Linked DNA regions of Drosophila melanogaster. The protein of the gene in region 1 interacts with the protein of each later gene in a biochemical or structural test. Each region holds a gene or a part of one and is shown in the gene's direction. Other genes may lie near its edges. The genes, in order: Rac2 and pbl.

Region 1 (10,367 bases):
ACATACCACGAATATTATTCAAACCAACAGTAGTAAAGTAACAGATTGTTACTGTTTGGCAATGAAGCTCGTTGTGACATTGTTAGTCCTATCACTAACTGTTTCGGTCGGTGAAAAAAATAAATTGAGTCCCAGGATCGCCGGTGGCTATAGGGCCAAGACCTTTACAATCATATACCTAGTTGGAATCGTCTACTTCAAAAGTCAAACTTCATCCCTGAACTACGGAGCCGGCACCATCATTTCGAATCAATGGATCCTTACAGTCAAGACTGTTCTAAAATATAGCTACATTGAGGTCCACCTCGCATCAAGAAGATCGTATAGGGGCTTTGACATTATAAGGATCTACAAGGAAAACTTCCGCTTTCATTATGATAATGACCATGTAATTGCCCTGGTTAAGTGTCCCTACCAAAAGTTTGATCGTCGAATGGATCGTGTTCGCGTTCCAGCTTATGATACAAGATTCGAACGATACGTGGGAAATATGACCATGGTCTGTGGCTACGGAACCGAAAAACGACATGCTAAGCTGCCCGAATGGATGCGTTGCATAGAAGTGGAGGTCATGAATAACACGGAGTGCGCCAAATACTATACGCCATTGAAATGGTATGAGATGTGCACCTCCGGCGAGGGTTTTAAAGGAGTTTGTGAGGGTGACATTGGTGGTGCGGTGGTCACAATGGGGCCGAATCCAACCTTCATTGGCATCATATGGCTCATGCCCGAAAACTGCAGCATTGGATATCCTTCGGTACACATACGCGTCAGCGATCATATAAAGTGGATAAAGCGTGTATCCGGAGTGGGATTCTGTGAGTATTCCAAATATGAACTATTTTTTTTTTACTAATAAAGGTGAATGGCTAAATTGATTCATTGCAGAACAAGGATGTACGTTTTAATAATGCTGCCCATAAAATAAACAGAAAAATAAATCAAACAAAAATACAAAAAACAAAGTTTTTCTGGAAACAAAGCATGTCATGTCATGTCATGTTTTTAAAAAATATTAATAAAAATTATTGTAAATATTCTGCAAAATGCAGTTTCTTATCTTAACTCTGTTAGTTATTTGAGTACACAGTATCAAATATTTTACAGCTTGGGATTAGCACACCCAAAATACAGGACTCCTAAAAGTCTACTGCCGTATTTAAACTTATTAAACTAAAATAATTTGGTTTGTATTGCAATTTGGGGATATTATATATAACACAATCGTTAAAGTGTTAAATTTATTGTTATTGTAGCCCTGTTACAGTTGAAGTTGCACTATTTGCTTTATTTCGCTCTTTTCTGTTCAGGCTGCGGTTCTTTAGCGCACATTCATTCATTATCGCCATATATATATATATATATATATATATATATATGTGTGTGTATATATATGTATATCTGTATATGTAGTGTGCGGTTCGTCTGGTGTGGCAATAAAAATGGCTTGAATATTTTTCAGTTTGTTATGCATTTTCCTGCCACTTGGGCAGCAACAACAATTATGAATAACTCGCTGCATAATGGCCAGCAAGCTGTTCCCATGAAATTCCTGCATCGATTACCGGGGGTTGGGATATATATTCATATAAATGTATATATATGTATATGTGCATATATCACTCCGCCAATTACGTGGCAAAGGGAACTGAACTGGGAACTGGCAGTCCCGGCGACAGTAATCAAATAATTGTTGCACTCACTGTCATACGTATCGCACTTTGGCTTTAATTATTTGCACAGTTTTTCACTCCGCAATGGACACGTCGTAATAAGGATATGCGGATAAAGTCCTGAATATGCCAAAGATTACTCGATTAATGCAAAGCGGTTCAGTGCGGCATTTCAATTGCAATTGTTTACTATGCAGAGCAGCAAATTGTTAGTTAACTTCTGGTAATAAAAAATTCACATATATGTACCTAATCGATTTCGAAACGAAACAAGTAATCCGAAATTTGTTTTCGTATATGTCAGCAGCGCTTGTATTTCGAAATACACCGATTCGTAGATGTGATGTTAAATATTTGATAAAACACATTTCCCAGTGCCACGACTTTACCAAAATTATTGAGTTTCCTGATCATCTCGCCCGTGCCGCATAAAATTCGCCTCCATTCCCGGCATTCCGATGGACTACAGCTATAGCATTGGCTCCAAGTCGCCAGTGTTCATCAGCAAATGTGCCCCGTACAACTTTCTGCGGGAATACCGCCTAGGCTGCGATTGTAAGAATATACCAGCTGTCACACTGGTTAAGGAAGCCCGCAACGCTTGGCACGCACTCAGTGACCAGGAGCAGTCCTTGTTCGAGGAAGTCCCCTATTTGATGGCCCAATTCGGACCATCCATCGAGTCGGCAATGAGGTTAACCGTCAATGTCCTGTCGCCTCAGCAGGTCACAGTGCAAAGGACGCGCTCTGATGTTCAGTCAAGTAAGCGTAGAATCTGTCGTGGAAATGCCAAGACGCATAGGAAGAAGCGGCAGCAGAAGATGGGTGCAACGAGCCGGAAGCGAAGTCCAGGGATTGGAAGTACCAGGTGTACCAGGTATACATCCCAATTTCACTGGGAAAACCCGCCTCTTTAAAAACCTTGATGAACCCTTTTGACCACCGGATATGCTAGCAATGGAAAATATAGGTACACTGCAATCAAATGTTTTTTTTTTCTGGGAGCTTAAAGGCTCATTTGGGTTTCAAAATGTTATGGTTTAAGTAAATAACTTTGCTGAAAGGTAATTTGATAACTGCATTATTTGTTGCGCTTATCGCTTTTCAACTTAATTTAACACCATTGTTTTAGCCAAAAGCTTTCGATTGGTTAATCTATTAAATTACGCTGTAATTTGAAAATTAATTCGAAAAAGTGTTGTTTTTGTTTCACGCCCTGACCCGCTGATAACCTTGCGACGCCCACCCGCCCACTTGAAATCGAATACGAAATCGAATGATTCATCCACGCACAAACGGAAACAGAAACATTTATTCCACTTGAACGGACTTCATTGGCGATTTAATTGTTGCGGATTTTTTACAGTAAATTCCATTAAAAACTTTTTGAAAATGCATATTATTGAAATTCATATATTCGTGCTTGTTGTTCGGATTGCTGGAGAACAAATTTTGTGGCGCCTATTTAATTATCCAATTACAGCAGCACCATCAGCAGTGCGAGAAATTAACTTAAATGCGAAAATATTCGCCGACGGCACTTTAAACATTTCCATTTTAAAATCAATGCGAAAATGGGCGTGGCATGTGGAGGACGGGGGGGGGGGATGTTTTGGGCTTCTGGTTGGTGGGGCGGAAGCCAAAACACAAACACGAAATATTTCGGCTATCACTTTTGGCTGAATGCGGATGCGGCGGATTCGGTGGATTCGGTTTGGGTTCTGTTTTTGCTTTTCGGTTTTTACTGTCGATATTTTGCACTGTTTGCCAATGTTATTTGTTTGTTATTCCTTGGGCTTTGGTTTTTGCCGACACACGCAATTTTGTGGTCCATTAAAACAGTCAACGGCAGCAAATATCGCTGGTCATGAAAAATTTAATAATTCGTTTAAGAATTAGATGGGATGTAACGGTCGTAAATTAATATGGCCCGAATTAAGGAGAATTAAAAGTAATTCCAGAATCTAAATTTGAGTTTCCAATTTTAAAATATGAATACTTCCATTTAAGTATATTCATCCAAAGACTGTGACACATATTTAGGTCACATAATTGATTCATCAATAAAAAAAATATTGTTCAATTAATATTTATATCGCGCGATATCAACGTTTTGCTTGTTTTTGGTGTGGCACTGTAATTGTACCGCGATAAGCTACGGGCGATTTGTACCTGAGTTGGGTACCGCACATCTCTGATAGCCTCTAGTCGCGTGGAAATTGGCTCAAAACAACAGCAACGGTCGGGAAATTCGTGGAAAACCGTCGAACGAATATAGAAAACTCTACAAAAACGACCAAAGCAAGGTCAAGTAAAGAGACTCACTATCTCTGTCTCGCTCTGCTCTCTGTGGATTGCCACGACTAACGTCACCGAGCGAATGACTCACTGTGACTAATTTTATGGGACTGCACTGTGCCAGTGCCGCTCTCGCTCACGTTCGCTCGCTCGCTCTTTGTGTGGGAGAGCGTATGCGCGCAGCGCTTCGTTTAAGCGACTAACGCACGCGAACGAGCGAGACAGCCGTACAAGCCAGTTGAAAGAGCGAAAACTACAGTGAAAAAACAAGTACAACAACTGCCAGCGGAGGCAGAAATTTTCTTCAATCGCCGCGAAGATTTCACAGCGTTTGGGCGTGTTTTTTCCGTTTCTGCCACAGAAAATCAGCAAATCCCCACATATGCGGGCCCAATTAATTCATAAATAATATACCGACCGAACAGAAAGAACGCCGTCACGGTTCTGCTTTCAATTAAGAATATTGATTTGACAACTTTCGCGATAAATCAAACTCCACTTCAAATTCGCATCTCTCTCTGTACGCGATTGCTTGAATGTGTGTGTGTGTGTGGGCAGAATTTGTATTAGTGCGTGAGCAAATTATTGTATAATCGCCAAAAAAAAAAAACAATAAAAGCAAAACGCCAACGCGAAAAGCAAAAGCTATACAATTAGAAAAACTAGCTGAGCTGCGATACAAGGCAAAACTAAATTGTGTGACTAAAATTTGTCTGTTGAACAGAAAAAAGAAAAGTACAAAATAGTTCAAAAGTACAAATATCGAAGCATTCAAAAACTGTCTGACCTACTGAATTGAATGAATTACCCCAAAGTAATTATAAGTTAAGCTGCCACAAAGAAAACCAGTTGAGCCACTGGAAATCGAGCACGAAACCAGCTGATCCACTGAAAAACCCTCTGCCCCCAGCGCACAAGCAACCCATCGAGCTGCTGAACCCATCGATTGCCCAGTAGTACCACCAGTACAGTAGCCTTCATCATGCAGGCCATCAAGTGTGTGGTTGTGGGCGACGGAGCGGTGGGAAAGACCTGTCTGCTGATCAGCTATACGACCAACGCCTTCCCCGGCGAGTACATACCCACGGTGTTCGACAACTATTCGGCGAATGTGATGGTGGATGCCAAGCCCATCAATCTGGGCCTCTGGGATACGGCTGGACAGGAGGACTACGATCGCCTGAGGCCGCTATCCTATCCGCAAACGGATGTCTTTCTCATCTGTTTCTCACTGGTGAATCCGGCATCGTTTGAGAATGTGCGAGCCAAATGGTTTCCCGAGGTGCGTCATCATTGCCCGAGTGTGCCGATAATCCTGGTCGGCACCAAACTGGATCTGCGCGACGATAAGCAGACGATCGAGAAGCTGAAGGACAAGAAGCTAACACCGATCACCTATCCCCAAGGACTGGCGATGGCCAAGGAAATAGCTGCGGTCAAGTATCTGGAGTGCTCGGCCCTGACCCAAAAGGGTCTGAAGACGGTCTTCGACGAGGCCATACGATCCGTGCTATGTCCTGTCGTTCGAGGACCCAAGCGGCACAAGTGCGCCCTGCTCTAAGAACTTTGAACCCACCCAAAACAAAAACGCGAAGAACTTCAACAAAAACAAAAAAAAAAACGAGAAGAGAAGAGAACAAAGCGCAAAATTCTGTGCAAAATATTCATATTCGCTTTGTTGGGTCTTTAGTTACAGCAGATAGTGTGTGAGTGTGTGTATTGTGTGTGTGTGTGATGTGAGTGCAAGTGTGAGCGCGTCTCTGGGTTGCGAGTGTGACGGCATGAGTGTGTGAATGAGTGAGCGTAGTTTTGTTTTTATTGTCAGCTTTATGTGGGGGAGCAGCAGCCACAAAAACAACAACACAGCTATCAGCAAGGGGGCTACACAGGGTGGGGGCGGGGCCAGGGGTCTCTGGGGGGCAGATCACGGATAGAAAGATATACACATAAGCATATAAGTATGATATTGTGCGTACACAGTAAAATAAATGTGGAAGAACTTCTAAAACTTGAGATATTTGATGTAATATTGCTCAAATTAATTTCTATATTGCTCTAGATAACATGTTTAAATTTTTCTGTTCTGAGTTATTGTTTCGTAGTATTTTTAATGACTAACTTGTTTTAGAATTTAGATTAAGTACAACTCATACTTTTGCGCTTATGACATACAAGAATTAACATTTTAAAAATGATTTCGACTAATTAAAAAAACATTTTTTATATAATGTTAATTGCAAAAAAAGAAATTTTGATTTTCGCAAATAGTAATCCATAAATTGCCTTAAAACGCAAGTGCATTATATTAAACAGCAGAAATTAGAACTTTGCAAATGAAATTCGGCCTGAGAAACGTATGACAAATCAAATAAAATTAATTGTAAATAAATCTAGACGATTTATAGCCTTTAGCGCCCCAAACGCAGTCACTATAACCAGTACCAGATAGCCGTTATCTGGGTGTGGAAGAAAAACCCCAGGAAAGGCCCCGCCTATGGCCAATATCTGAACAATCGGGGAATGTGGGAAGCCGACAAAAAAAGAACTTTCATTTATACATATAGTATTTAGAGTTACGTGTGAATGTGTGTGTGTGTGTCTGATCAATGGTCTTCCCGCTCAACGCATTTGCCTGGACTTGATTTAATGTATACTAAATGCACAATTAGCCTCTACTTTGATGTTAATTTATATACTGATATTTATGTTAAATAAATGCATACATTTTGCCAATTTGTTTTAACGAAAGAGAGCGAGCGGTAAATTAAAAAAAAAGGAAACACTTTATTTATATTAACACATAATTTATCAATAAAGAGTGTAATATTAATCAACCAAAATAAACGTTTGTACAAAACTAAATAGTCGGATGAATTATGTTGGGAGCAAAGTGCAATTCAGATTTATGTCTATTATGGAAGTAATGTGGGTATATTTAAAGGTTTTCATAGTTGGCAATGCAATGGTGCTTGACCCCTGAACTGCTGCATACTTTTCGGCTAGTGGGGAAAATTGCACACGCCTGGCAACTTTAATCTTATCTGCACCCGCATTTGTCACAAATTTTAGATAATTATTTCCGATTGCCGGACACGCCGGAAGTTCTGATCCCCGGACCGGTTGACTAAGCAATTTGCCAGTTTCAGTCCTATCATACATACATACATACATATGCCTATATACTATAATGGCTACATCATATTTATTTATGTCTTTATGCTCCGCTTTCTTTCAATTCTATCTATATCTATAGAATACTTCGATTGTCATAATGAGCCAGCTGTTGATTGATTGCCCGCGGATACGAGTATGATGAGGGGCTGGTTTGGGTGATTTGGGTGTTTTGGGTGGGTGGTTTTCGATGGCTTTGCGGTCACCGTGTGTCTGCGGCTCGTTAGCGGATGTGGGCATGGCCCCACACTGCCGCTGCTCAGTGTGTGAATTTGACAAATAATTACATAAGACAACCTGCTGTGCGAATTGTGCCCATCCTCCCGCACATTTCAATGGCCACTGATGGATGTTTTTGCCACACCACCATCACCAACCCATCGTGTGGTTTTGTCTGTGACGCGACGAATCGCATAATTGACCCACATTTTGAACAAACACCGCGGCACCAGGCAGCAATCAAAACAGAGAGAGGCCGTAAAGGATAGGGAGACCAACGAAGTCAATTTAATTAGCAAAAACATTTGGCTAGCATCTAGAATTTGGCTGCACCTTTAGAATTTGCACTTTTGGCTCTAGAATGCACCGCTGAAGAAGCCGCTGAGTGAAGACGCGTTGACAGGCGTGGAATGTTCGGCATGTTCAGATACAATTGCCCTACTACATTGCATGCAGATACTTTGTAACAGAACAATACCAAATTCATTTATAATCAATTTCATAAACGAGATCCACGTGTTTGCAAGTTATACAAATAACAGTTTTAAATGTATAGGTTTCTTTGTGCTTCATGCTGGCTTCAATTAATTTCCAAATTTTCCTACGTCTTTAAAAAACATTTCATACAAAAAAGTCTGTATAGTTAGTTTATAAAATTCCTCTAAAATGCAAATGACTGTGCTTTTTCCAATGTGAAATTTATTTCTCACCTGTAAACAGCAGCATTCCAATGCTCTCATAAATAAAAGGCATATAATAAAATTGGCTTGATTTTCCCTTTAATTTTCCATTTACCAACCACAGTCCAAATTTTAGAATGTGAACGGTATTATTCCTTGATTATCACCCCATCCCCCTCCCATCAAATCGAAGTGGGAAAACTGCAGAATGGCCAATACCGCTAAGTGGACAACTGCTGTGCGATGCAAATCCATTGACAAGTGTCGCATAATCATGCCCCATGCCAAATGTAAATGCAAATGGAAATGGCAAATTTATGCACTGCATGCGTGAAATTAAAAGCTTCCCCGGCGGACTTACAGCTCCATTTGGTCCTGATTTTCCAGGGCCAGGTTTTGCAAAAGAGGCTTGCGCAATTTGTCCGTTTTCAAGCGGTTAACAATTTGGCTAAATCAATTATACGCTCGGTGAGCAACATGGAATCGTGGCGATTTTCAGCTTAATTGAGAGATTTCCAGCGAATTCGTGGCCGTTGGGAAAAGTGGAAAAATTTAATATGAAAATTTCCGAAAGAATTCCTTGCTGGCCACAAATTTCGTACAAAATGCCAATAAAATACGCTCCAGCGTAAAAATTCCATGCCACATAAGATGAAGGTAAATTCAGGTGAGCTTGGCGCTGGGGGAGGTCAAAATATTTCACACTTCCGGTGTGGAAAATGCTTGCACCTGATCCTCTGCCAACAGGATATGACAAGCTCGGACACCTTTTCACATCCCCGCCCAAACCACCCAGCTATTTTCTCAGCATATTTTCAGCGGCAACTTCCTGCCAGAAAACACATTGCAAATTATGATGCGAACGGAGAATGGGCGGAAATGTTGAGTTTTCCAAAACAGCCAACTAAAAAAAAATAAATTCATTTGTGCGCTGTGATGCTGCTATTGGTTTTGGCTGCTCATGGAAAAACAAAAAAATATAGGACAAATCGATTTTACTCAAACTGGAAACGACTTCAATACAGATCAATAAACGTTGAAATAATGAAAAACAATAGTTTCCAGCTTTTCCCAAGTTAACTCGAAATTACAACATTTTCAAATTTCACATTAAGATGCTGAATATTTAAGCGGAATAAAACGCGATGCTTGCTGTGAGCAAACAAAAGCTTGAGGACGCAATTGATATGGATGGCCAACAGGCAGGACACGCAGGACATTCAATGGGCTGTGGCGAAAGGAGCGAAGCCATCTAGTGGCGTAGCCAATATCCGTTGCAAGGATTACGCATGTGGGTATCTGCCTCGGACTTGTTATTGATAATCTTTGTCATGGCCAGCATGGCAACGTAAAGCATCGACAGCGGCTAACAAAAAAGCAAGGAGTCACAGGACAACAGCGTGCCGGCAAAGGATGCAGTCAACAAAATTTTAGTACTTCACATTACTTTAGCTTATGGTTTAAAAAATTGTATATACATACATTGAAATTTTTAAGAAGAATTTGCAAGTTTTGATACAAAACGTACTAAGAAAGTTGTGCGTTCCTATTGTGGAAATCAAAGATCGAGCATCTCAATATTTTTGATTGTGTAAAAGATGGGCCAGGATTATCGTCCTGCGGAGTAATGAACTGCGGCAGGACCAGACAGGCGACGAGCCTTGTTTGTCCCGTCGATCGATGCAGCTGGAGTTGAGGCGAGTCGAGTCGAGTGTATTAAAAACAAAGTCACACTGTGTGTCCTGCATCCTTGTACGCTGCCAAAGTCAATGAACAGCGACGTGGGACGCGGACGTGGATGTGGACCGGCTGCCAGGATATGAAGCGTGTGCGAAAGTTTTGCACAATTAGGATGCCTCCCCACCTCGGATCGCTCCTCCTTCTCGGTGCAATAAAAAAGTTTAAAGTTGCGTTTAAATATGCATTCCATAATTCATGGATGCAGGCGGTGGAGCTTTGATTTTCCAGTCGACGCCAGTCAGACAGCAACACGTTTCCGCCATTTTGTTGGCTGGCTGGCAACTTGTTGCATTTTCCACATTTGCATGGACGGAAAATGGTGATCGGGCGGGGGAAAGTGTAAGGGAAATGTTGACATCCCGAACACGTTGAAATTTCCGCCAGACGACGGGCGATGCTGAAAAGCTGAAAACTTGCCAGTCTGACATTCAAATCGACCAAACGTACGTGCGTGTGTGTTTAAGATTTCAGGTGTGCATTCTGAATTTGAGTATGATTCTATGTGAGGCTTTTCATTTTCAATTAAACACAATTACATGTCCAACTGTCAGCTTTCAGTTAATAATGAACACAAGGCACAACT
Region 2 (10,689 bases), 480 kb from region 1:
TTGATCGCATTTGCCATTTATCCCTCGGCCAATAAAAACTTAACACTTAGTAACTAAACTAAAGTTAGAACTCCCTGATGCCCGCACTGGTGGTGGTGCTGCCCGGTGGCCCACCTCCTCCCCCGCTTCCGCTCGCTCCCGACACATTGGGCTTGGATTCGCTGGAGGTGTGCACACTGGGGCTCTGTGATTTGTCCTGCTCCTCGTGACCATTTGGCGTTTCTTCGTAGCGAACGTAGGGTTCGAAGCTGTTGTTGATTTGCACAGATCCGCGATGCAGATTGTTGGACTCGGCCTCGAAGAGAATCTCGTTGATGAAACGTTCGGCCAGAAGACGCTGCTCGCGCGGCAGTCGCTTCAGTTTGTGCGTCCAGGTGCGGGCGATGGACTCCTCCTCCGGATATGTGCCAGCCAAATACTCGCAGGCTATGTTGAGTAGTTCGTCGGTGTTGTGGGCGGTGCCTGTTGCCCCAGGACCGCCAGTAGATCCGGCTCCTGCTCCCGTACATGGCGGCGTTTGCCTGGCTCGCTTGCTGCTCCCATAATCCACATGGTTGGTTGCTGGCGGTGGCGGTGGCGGAGCTCCAAATGATTTGTGAAACATCTCGGAAATGTTGGGCGTCTGACCACCAGCGCGTGGTGCTGGATAATGGAGGGCTGCTCCCTGGCTCTCCAGAAACGCACTCGGGCAATTGCTGCTCTCACCGAAGGCGAAGTTGGGCTCGTTCTTAAAGGCGGGATTGACGGCTAGAAACTTCTCCGAGTTGCGCAGAAAGTCCAGCTCCTGAAAGGTCCAGCAGCGTGGACTGTGGAGGCTGCCCGATCGCAGGGCACTCTCCACCACCTTCAGCTCCTTGCGGTAGTTCGTGCGCAGTGTGTTGATCTTCTTTTTCACATCCTCCACGGTGGCGTCCCGCTTGAGATAATGGTATATGGGCACCAGGCGCAAATAGGCCTCCGCCCGCTTCTCCCGATTGGTGTAGTCCCGCAGCGATGTGTCCCACAGCACGGGCAGATCCCTGTATGTCTGGATGAAGGCGCGCAGATAGTGTCGGTTCTCCTCCGCTCCCGACATCACCTTCAATCCGTGCGGCGGCGTTTGTGGCAGCATTTTGCGCGGATCTCTGGATTACCCTCTGCCAATCCACGCCAGCTGCAGTCCTTGGCTATCTTCACCACTTCAGCGAATCCTGGATGGACCTATTGACCAACTGTCAATGCGAACGAACTGTGTTTGTTGTAATTGCGCGTTTGACAGATTGTTTGCCATATTGACGTAATGGTTGTGTGCGAGTGTGCGTGAGCGTGAAGATACAGCAACAAGTGCGGACGTAGTGGCAATGCTTGTCACTGGTATCGATACTTCGCCAGCAGTATTTATCGGTCAACTCGTTGTTATCAAGCGCGTATATTTAAACAAAGTAGCACAAAAGCAAGTAGTTTTAGGCATTCATTTATTAAATATATGAGCAAGCATACATAAAATTAACTGTAGCTTATATAGCTTGCATGAAAAATATGATTGGAGGCTACAACTGCAACAATAGTAGGATATTACCAAATTTAATTTATCGACAGGCCAAAAACAACTTAAACGAAGAAAACAGTTCTAATTGATTGTTAATATAGTGCAGCTTACAACTATTTTATAGCCATAGTCGTTTAATTTAGTTATATAGCATTACAGGGAATACCTTCAACCCCTTGCAAGTGTGACCATTATTTAGCGCCGATTGATTCTGGTATTTCGTTCATCACATTTGCGCGTATTTCTTGGCGCCCCCGCGACGGTTACACTGCGCGGCACACTACAGCGAAAAAAATTCGAAACAGACGCGTTTGTCCGTTGAGTTTTGATTTGTGATTCCGACGCGCAGCCGTTGAGCGCAATTCGCTTACATTGTTGATCATTTTGTTGGTTAAATTGCTAAAGCAGGTACGCGGTATCGCTAACAAGAGGACGAAGAACCGGGCGACGCTGCCTATGCGCGTCTGTGTGTGTGTGTTTTCGTGAGCCGCCGCTTTTTAATTAAATAATAAATAAATTGTAACAAAAAGTAGAAAAACAAACAAACATGGAAATGATGCGCGCTAAATGCATGAAAACAGCGTCCAGTTAATGAAAGTAAACGAATCGAGTACAAACGAATTATTTGTCTCCTTGTGCGTTCGTTCTATTGTGTTTCGAGTTCTGTTGGTGTGTGTTTTTGTGTATGTTCCACGAGTTGTTCGCCTTAAAAAAGTAACTGCAGAAGATCCATGGAAATGGAGACCATTGAAGAGCAATCGAAGTGCGGTGAGTACTGAAAGAGGGCGCGGGGCGTGGCAGCTCCAAATGGCCGGCGAATTTATCATTTTTCAATGTCGCCCAAAGGGGTTGGGTACGGGGTAAAACCACATTCGGGGCCAAAAGATCCTCATAAAAAATGTCGCTGCCAGCAAATGCAAAAAAATAAAATGAAATAACAACGACTATAAGTACATCTTTGTGTGTATTTGTGTGACTAAAAAAGCAACGGCATCGTGTCGCAGATATTTTAATCTTTTTTTCTGAATTTATTTCGGTGTAGAAAATATTTATCGCATAAATGCGAAATGCCTCCCTCTCTTCATCATCGTTTCCCCTCACTCTCCCTCTCTTCGGCGACACTGTACCGACAGCAAGAACAACAACAACAACTGAGGCGCCCTAACTGTTGTGAGAGTAAAAAGAAAGGACAAGCAACAACAATTTAAGCGATCAGTTCCTGTTATCATTGATGCGAATTCAGCCGTTTTTAGCCATGGAGTTGTAGCTATAAAAGAAAGTAAACAAGAAACTATCGAATCTTAAAAAAGTAAACAATTAACAAAAGATAGATTTAGGTATTGATGGGAAAGAGAAATCTCTGCTATAAAGTTTTTATTATATTTTTAACATTTTTATTTAACTAAAAACAAAATTGTTTCTAGGCAATTAAAATTGTTATACTTTCCATAAGCCTACGATTTCCGCAACGAGAACGTGTAACTGCAAATACCACACAATTTCAAAGGTTATTGCCTTAAAAAATACGTGTAAATATGTTGTACGGCAGGAATTTTTCCAGCGCGCGGCATAAACAAATAAAATTATCATTTAATGTATTTTGTGTCCGAATTTGAGGCGCAAATAAAGCATATATCAATTAAAAGTTTATAATTTGGTTAGGTTATAAAATCAATTCTCCTTTGATGTTATTTAGCCTTTAAATGTGCATATGTATGTAGATACTTTTGAAATCAACTCTACATGATATCTTTGTGTACTTATTCTGTCTGCTCCGCTCTAATACTTGCCGCCAGGTAAGAAGAAGAATTTATCCTGCTCGACAGGCTCTTCGCTCCTTCTACTTCCTCCTCTTGTTGCACAGAATCCTTGATCCTTGCTTTCCGGGTGGTTTACCTACCCCGCTGGCCGATTACCTCGTATTCCATTTACACATGTTGACAGGGCGCACATGCCCATACAACTATGACTATATAGCCTGTAGTCCGTGTTTTCCGTCCCTCAATGCTAATGGCATTTTACATGGCCCGCAGACCTTCGGAATCTGCTCTTCGCCTACGTCAAGGCTTCCGCGGGATACGTACGTAATTTTATTACAAGATTTTTCTTTGATGACTCTGCTCTGCTATTTGACAAAATCCGCTACACAGCGAGAAATTGGTTGATTTTATGTATAATTTAAACTTGCAGGTAAACTGAGGTTTTTTTTTCTAGAGATTTAAAGTAATTTTCTAAATATTATTCCAAAATTACAAAACGTCTTTCGTTTAAAACACAATTTTTTTACATAAAATATTTTATTTTTGGATTTCATTGTCACTTAAAAATGCTTTTAGGTCTAGGTCAAAAGCAATAGACACGAGAATTTAAGTAAAAATCAAAAATTGTCATTTTGGGTTAACTATGATTTCGCATAGGACATTTTTCGCTGCGTGGCTGAATGCCCAGAAACCCACACACACAGCCCTCTTCTTCCGATGGCTTTTCATTTCTCAGATGCCACTCAATTAGTTTTTCATCGTTTCCCTGGCAGGCAGCCAGCGAGGAAAAGTAGAAAATAAATAACAACAGCGGATTTTGTTCGGGCAAAAAGGAAGGAAATTCCCGAATGGCGAAAAATGGTGGCCGCCACCTGTGAGTCTCGGCACTTTCTCACACTCGGAAATTTTGCTTACCATTTTGCGTTTACCTTTTCTCCTGACCTCACTTACATACCTTCTTCTTCTTGTTTGAACCGAAGAAGCTACCACCTGTGGCCATGCAAAATGCGATTTCAGGTGTTCCCTCAGCCTGAGCTCGTCTTGCATTTAGTTATGTTTTAGAGCCCGATCCTTGAGGATCTGCGAACAAAATGTTACACTTACCGCTGGTGCAGTTCAACTTTGGCAACCATTTGGGCAAAAAGAGCAACAAAGTGGTCACGGTTCAGCGACAATCCGCCTCCTATTTCACATATGCCGCCGACGAGGAGGTCAAACAGGCGAAGCTTCGACAGGCCGCCTTGTGTCAGGTGTACGAGGATTTTACAGGTATTTCAAGATTCCCAGATAAACCCCTTCAGGTACTCGTTTCCAAGGGTTGAATATGCGCAAAAGCAAGAGCAACATATTCGCCAGAGGGAAACTTAAGTAGGGTAAAGTCTTTCGTGAATCATCCATCCATTCAGCCAGACCATCGACAAACACCTGGGAAAGGTGCAGGAACAGTAAAAATAACTATGTATTTCATAAATAAATATATTACTTTCCGAGGAAAGCATTCGATGTCATGTTAAGGTGATATTGATTTAAATGCCAGTCAAGCAATTCGTGGAAATAATAAGGCGCATTAAACTTAACAATATGTTTCGTTTAATAGCTTAGAATGCATCATTAAAGAAATTGTTCATATAAAAAATTATTCGCAGAATTAGCATATATGACTTTTCATCGCTAAAAGCCTCTCGAATTGAATAAATCAAACAATTTTTTTCACATTTAATGATGTGGACATTTGTGCGTTTTAATACCCATATCAATCTTCTACAAATTCTGAATTCCCATGGAGCACATTCCGTATCACTGGTTTTTATTGGATTCCACATTCCAGTGATATTCCTACCTTATAAACATTTTGTTAGTCCATAAATCGCCACGATTTCCATTAGGTAAATTGCATTGTTTATCGCTTGTTTTGGGAATGCATATCTGGAATATCTATTTGAAAATTCCGAGACGTCAGAGATGAGAATACGACACGAACTGTAGTTCTTCCTCAGCATTTTCCTGGACTTTGTTCAATTGCACAAGTGGCGAATGTCTCGCCAGATATAGATACAAGTGTATATAGATGCAATTGGCATCGGTTACAGCTGCACAATTCTGGATAAAATTAATGCAACAAAGCCGACCGCCGTCAGTGGTCTCCACTTGCTCCATGTGGTTGTGTCCATGTCGATTGGGGGTAAATGATTTGCACTTGAAAACATTCCCCATTCTCCATTCCCCCAAGTCCATTCTCACTCATTTCGAATACTCTACTTTCGCTGCCTGTCAAAAACTATGGCAATAACGAAGGTCGCTTCATTTCGGCGTCTAAGAAATCGGCACAATTAAAATTGTTGTCAACAGCTCGCAATTTGGCAGCTTAATGCTGCGGCTTCTGCTGACCAGGCCCCCATCCGCCATCCGCCATCCGCCATCCTCCATTCTTCATCTTCGATCTGTAGTGTACATGTTTACTATACATCCTCAAGGGGTTCTATTTTGGTTAGCCGCTCTGCTCTGTTTCCTCGCATTTCTTTGTTTTATTTTGCACAGTTTTCCCTCGATCTTTTACCCCCTCCCCCCCTCCCCCTATTCACAGCACATTCAATTGCATAAACAAACAAATCCAAAAAATAGCCATTAATCAAACAAAATCTTTTCTCCAGTCGCCTGTAAACAGAAGCGAGTTGAAAGTAGTGTATGGGTTGTTGAAGGGTCACACGGATATCGAACTGTAATTAATTATGCTGCCAATAAAATATTTATTTTCTTAGCAGTTTGTTAAAATTGATTTTGTTGGGAAACATTCATAAATCACAAATATTTTAAATAAGCGGAAAAATACTGTATTTTGGCCTAAGAATAATGTGTGTTAAATTTTCGCATTGGTTTTTATATTGTGATAGTCTAGAGTATTTTATATAATGTAAGATTGAATGGAAAAACCCCTTTTTGATCGACACCTATGAACGGCATATTTATTTGCTTGATTTACGCCTGACATGCACTTAACCCCATGCCATTGGTCATTTCTGATTTTTGAGAGCACACAATGCATGTTTCTGATTTTTTAATGACTTATACCCATTCATTTCGCCCCATCCAGAGATGTCCATAACAACGCTGCCCACGCGCATCTGCCTGGTGGGAGGCGTTGGCCAGGATGCGGACACGCTGCAGGCAGCCGAATCCTTTGGCCTGCCCATCGTTACGTCGGACACGGGTCTGGACATTCTCGGAGAGTCGTCGGACTGGCGGACATTCTACGTGCTGGATGACTTCGAGGGTGCCAGCTTCGAGGCGATACACAAGCAAAAGGAATGGTGAGTACGATTAGAACCTATAACTAGTCACTGGTACTAATAATAACTCGGCCAGAAGCTGAGGAACAATAAGGCTGCTTAATTTAGACCAAATCTGTCACATGTGTCCAGCTGTCCGCCCCCACATCCTTCTCCTTACTGTACAACCCACTTTTCTCTTCTTTCTGGCTATGAAGAGATGCCTGAACAGTCAAGAGCCATTATCACATCGCCATGCTGAGCCGCAGCAAATTGAGTTTGAAATCGAGACACACGCACGAGTATACTACCTATCTTCGCTCCAAGAGCCCCAATGTGGATCCACTCGTTGGCCACCAGTTTCAAGATTGACAGCGTCAGCCATGCGCCAGATATACCACACGGCTCCTCTGCCCGCTTCCTTCCGATTGCATACCCTTCCTCGGGGTATTTGAATTGGGTAAACAGTGTAGTTTGCTACAAAACATTTCGATTTGTTTACACTTTCGTATGTATTGCGTGGAAAGAAAGTTACGATTGCTCGATGCCCATAAACTCATTTGAAGTAGTATCTTTCAGCAATGGCCTTAAATGCATTTTCAATTGCAAATGTGCACACCTGTGCCATTTTGTTTGTGTAATATAGAATTATGTTTATTATTTGATTACCTCAAGCTCTAATAGTAAACCAAAATTTAGTTGGAGTCCCCTTATGATTTTTGTACAATATTTCTAAAGATTTTTTCGGAATTTCCCATCAATATATAATATAGACATTATGACCACAAAGGGTATATATTTAATTCGACTTGCCGGCATAAGCTTGCAAACACTTTTCGCTTTCTACAAATTGTTGTCTAATTTGAAACTTGCGCAAATGTTTGTTCTTTTGCTCCATATAGATATATGTATTTTATTTGGTCCGGTTATTTGGATTGGTTGGGGTTCTTGATTTTTTTGCACGCTTGATTAATTTGCCTGCTGCGTAGTAATAGCCTCCAATAACCTACACGCTTTTTGATACGAAATCATACACATTCGATTTAATATTTGTTTTTTGGCGACCCCACCTCTGCCCTGTCTCATTAGTTATTAACCATAAGTTTGCCATACTTTGGTTAGCGTTTATTTACGAGCACTTTTTTTGGAGGTCACCTAGTGCGTTAAAGTTGTTATGAATTCGGGGGGTCGGTGGGCGTCTGTTTTCCGTTTCATGTTTTCCCAACACACGCTCTGCTTGTAAGGAAACAGCAAAGAAAATGCGAAACAGGGAAAAAAGAGCCAAAAAGTGGCTTTGTTCCCCCCATTAAGAATTATTATTATTTATCTCATAGATTTTCATTCATGTTTCGGTTCTTTTTGTTATTGCAATTTGTATTTGGTTTTCATCGCTTTTTTTCTTCTGCTCGCCAAATGAGCGAAAAATAAAACAAAGCTAAGGTGCGCATAAGTTGTTTTTTTCACTGGGCTAATTATATTTCATGTTTCATATATTTTTTTTTTTTTAGTATTCCATCTATAAATTTAATTGGTCTTAGCCTATAGAAAAACATAAACTGGTATTAAATATGGAATTTGTTTATCATCCGGAAAACTACGTAGAAAGTTTATTTGCAGCGTTAGTTGTTTATTTTTTAAATAAATATGCACTTTGTGAGTTTGTTTTTGTCAACTGATATGAATAAATCGTGACTATTAAATGCACCTGTATTTAAATTGAGCATTAAAGTTTATATAATCCATCAAAGGCTTTTCACGGTTTTGACAAAGTATTTTCTTAGTTTATCCCAAAACATTCATTAAAATGAATATAGGCTATTCCTGCTTATAGTCATGGATCATAAAATATATATAGAAATTATCATTATTTTTTCAAGTTACAATTAAATTGTAATTAGTTCTAGTGAGTTAGTACTTTTGTTGCACTAATGCAGTTCTGATTAAAAATACACAAAGATCATAGGGAAACAGAGGAATTTTAATGAGTTTTTCTCAGGAATCGCAGATAAGTGAAATGAATGACCAAGGGGCACTTTAACGGCCACTTAACCTCGCCCAAAATGATGCCACAAAGATCTTGTTAATCGGTGTTCCCACAGCATGGCCGATATGAGTGGGGGATATATACATTCTGAATCATAGGAACGATACATTCGCATAATGGGGGAAGTCTCGGAGCAATTCATTGCCTATTTTGGGGACGTAGCGAACTGCGAATGAAATCGGTTTAAAAATGAAAACAAATAAAACGCTGGCATGACAATTTCAAATAGTATTTCTTCTAAAGAAATTGAAAATGAATCGTTTTGAATATTTTTTTTTTGGGACTTCTCTTGGGAAGCAAAATCTTTTGGTGCCATTGGCCAAGTTTCATCTGAATAAAATTGAGGAGGTGGAGGCATTGCGACAATCTCTTGGCGCCAAGAATCTATAGGAATTCGTGTATTTTCAGATCGAGCGATGTCAAATCAAGTCGAAAGTGTTGAAAGAAGTGTTTGGGAAAAAACGGAAATTCTCTACCATAAAAAAAAATATAACACAAATCGCGAAAAAAGATCCGAATTTATGGTTTTTATTGAGGCATTTATGTGATCTGCGCTCTGGAGTGTTTACATACATATATTTAAATATTTCTTGTATATCTGCGAGGGAGTATATAATTTATAAGTTTTGATATGGCAATTTAATTGAGACAGCACGAGAAAGAGCCCGCGAACGACATGTCATTGACTGTTCTATAGTTTTGACCCTCGCAAAGTTCGAGTGCCCCGTGTTCAGTCAAAGATCGGCGCACTTTACAAAAGAATCGCCACTACCACCCAGAGATGGCAGGTCATCCGTTGCCGAGGCCAAAAACCCCTAGATCCCCCATATTCCGCGATTCACTTCAATCCGATCATCATCCATCGCATTCATCTCATATGAATATTGTTGTGTCGAGCACGCGCGGCGCATTTTTATGCTTTGACTAAGCATCTGAATTTTCCTGGGTTTTCCTTGGATCCCAATGCGAAAAATTGAATTGTTCTTTGGAATTTCATTTCTTTGATGCCTGCTGCTTAAATATTTGGTTGACTCAACTCTCTTTGCATTTCACCTGTCTCGCTTGATTTCTTTGTTTACGGTCGCCTCTATTTTCTTTACTACACACAGAAAAATAAGGTAAATTTGTAGAAGGAATATGGATATGAAACAAAATGGTGGCTAAAATGTGCTAAAATATCATGAATTCTTGTTTTATATTCTGAAATTAAAAGAGACTTATTCGAAAGGCTTATACAAAATTGGATCTAAATATCTTTCTGTGTAGATCGCACATTCTCGCATTGAGAGTGATGTTTGCAGTTCTTTCTTATAAGAGAAATATAGGAAAATATCACGCCTGTATAGCATTTGCCACTTATGTGCCACATTAAGTGATGAGGAGAGAACAAGCTGCAAAGTGGGGAAAATCCGAGGAAAAGCGGGGCAGGAGCCAAGAGGGTGGACCGCCTGGCATGTCAGGCATTTTCTATTTCCATTCTCCATTCGCTCGCCGCGGTCCCATCGTTTATTCAATAATTTTCCCAAGCAACGAGGCTGGCAGTTGTGTTTGTTTAGTTGCCCGGATAGAATCATAAACTCTTGTCGCTCGGTTCCTCCGGCTAGATGTCTCAACTTATTCATACTCTCGTTATGGTGCTCTGAATCAGGCAAAATCGTTCCGTTTGCCCGCGACAAATATTTGAGCATATGGAAATGAAAATCTGCCTTTGTTGGTAAGGTTAACTGAACCTAACAGCCAGAAATGTGGGTGAAATGTGTAAATGCGAGTGAAAACTGATATGATAGCAGGCTCGATAAAATAGAAGAAAGTGAAAGTGAATCTAACAACAGGAAGTTAACCTGAGAAAAGTCTAAGTCTAAGAAAGTGAAAGATCAAGTGAAATGGAGTCAGGGGAGAAAACGGCAAAAGGAAGATGGAAACTGTAAGTGTGAAACTTATTGTGATAACATCATGATATCAAAGTTAAGGCAAACTTTCTATAGAACTATGATAAATAAAGTTATTACACTATAAATGAAATACCTTAAATGATACAACATTTTATATGCAAATACTTTGGCTTTAAGCATTCATAAGAATCTTTGGAAT

Evidence for each region.
Region 2: of the proteins of Rac2 (region 1) and pbl, one has a biochemical effect on the other in vitro, tested with the Drosophila melanogaster proteins (one study listed by BioGRID).

What each region holds. Positions count from the first base shown.
Region 1 is NT_037436.4:7,429,100-7,439,466, reverse strand, and holds Rac2 (Rac2), read left to right. Parts: upstream 1-4,276; 5' UTR 4,277-4,956; coding exon 4,957-5,535; 3' UTR 5,536-6,705; downstream 6,706-10,367. Other genes in the region: sphinx1, read left to right, coding at 62-821, 892-893; CG14835 (uncharacterized protein), read left to right, coding at 2,135-2,593. UniProt on the Drosophila melanogaster protein: Involved in integrin alpha-PS3/beta-nu-mediated phagocytosis of Gram-positive S.aureus by hemocytes.
Region 2 is NT_037436.4:7,903,029-7,913,717, reverse strand, and holds the start of pbl (pebble), read left to right. Parts: upstream 1-1,763; 5' UTR 1,764-2,259; coding exon 2,260-2,296; intron 2,297-4,379; coding exon of another isoform or gene 4,380-4,557; intron 4,558-6,379; coding exon 6,380-6,596; intron 6,597-10,134; exon of another isoform or gene 10,135-10,481; coding exon of another isoform or gene 10,482-10,522; intron 10,523-10,689. Other genes in the region: CG8281 (uncharacterized protein), read right to left, coding at 65-1,111.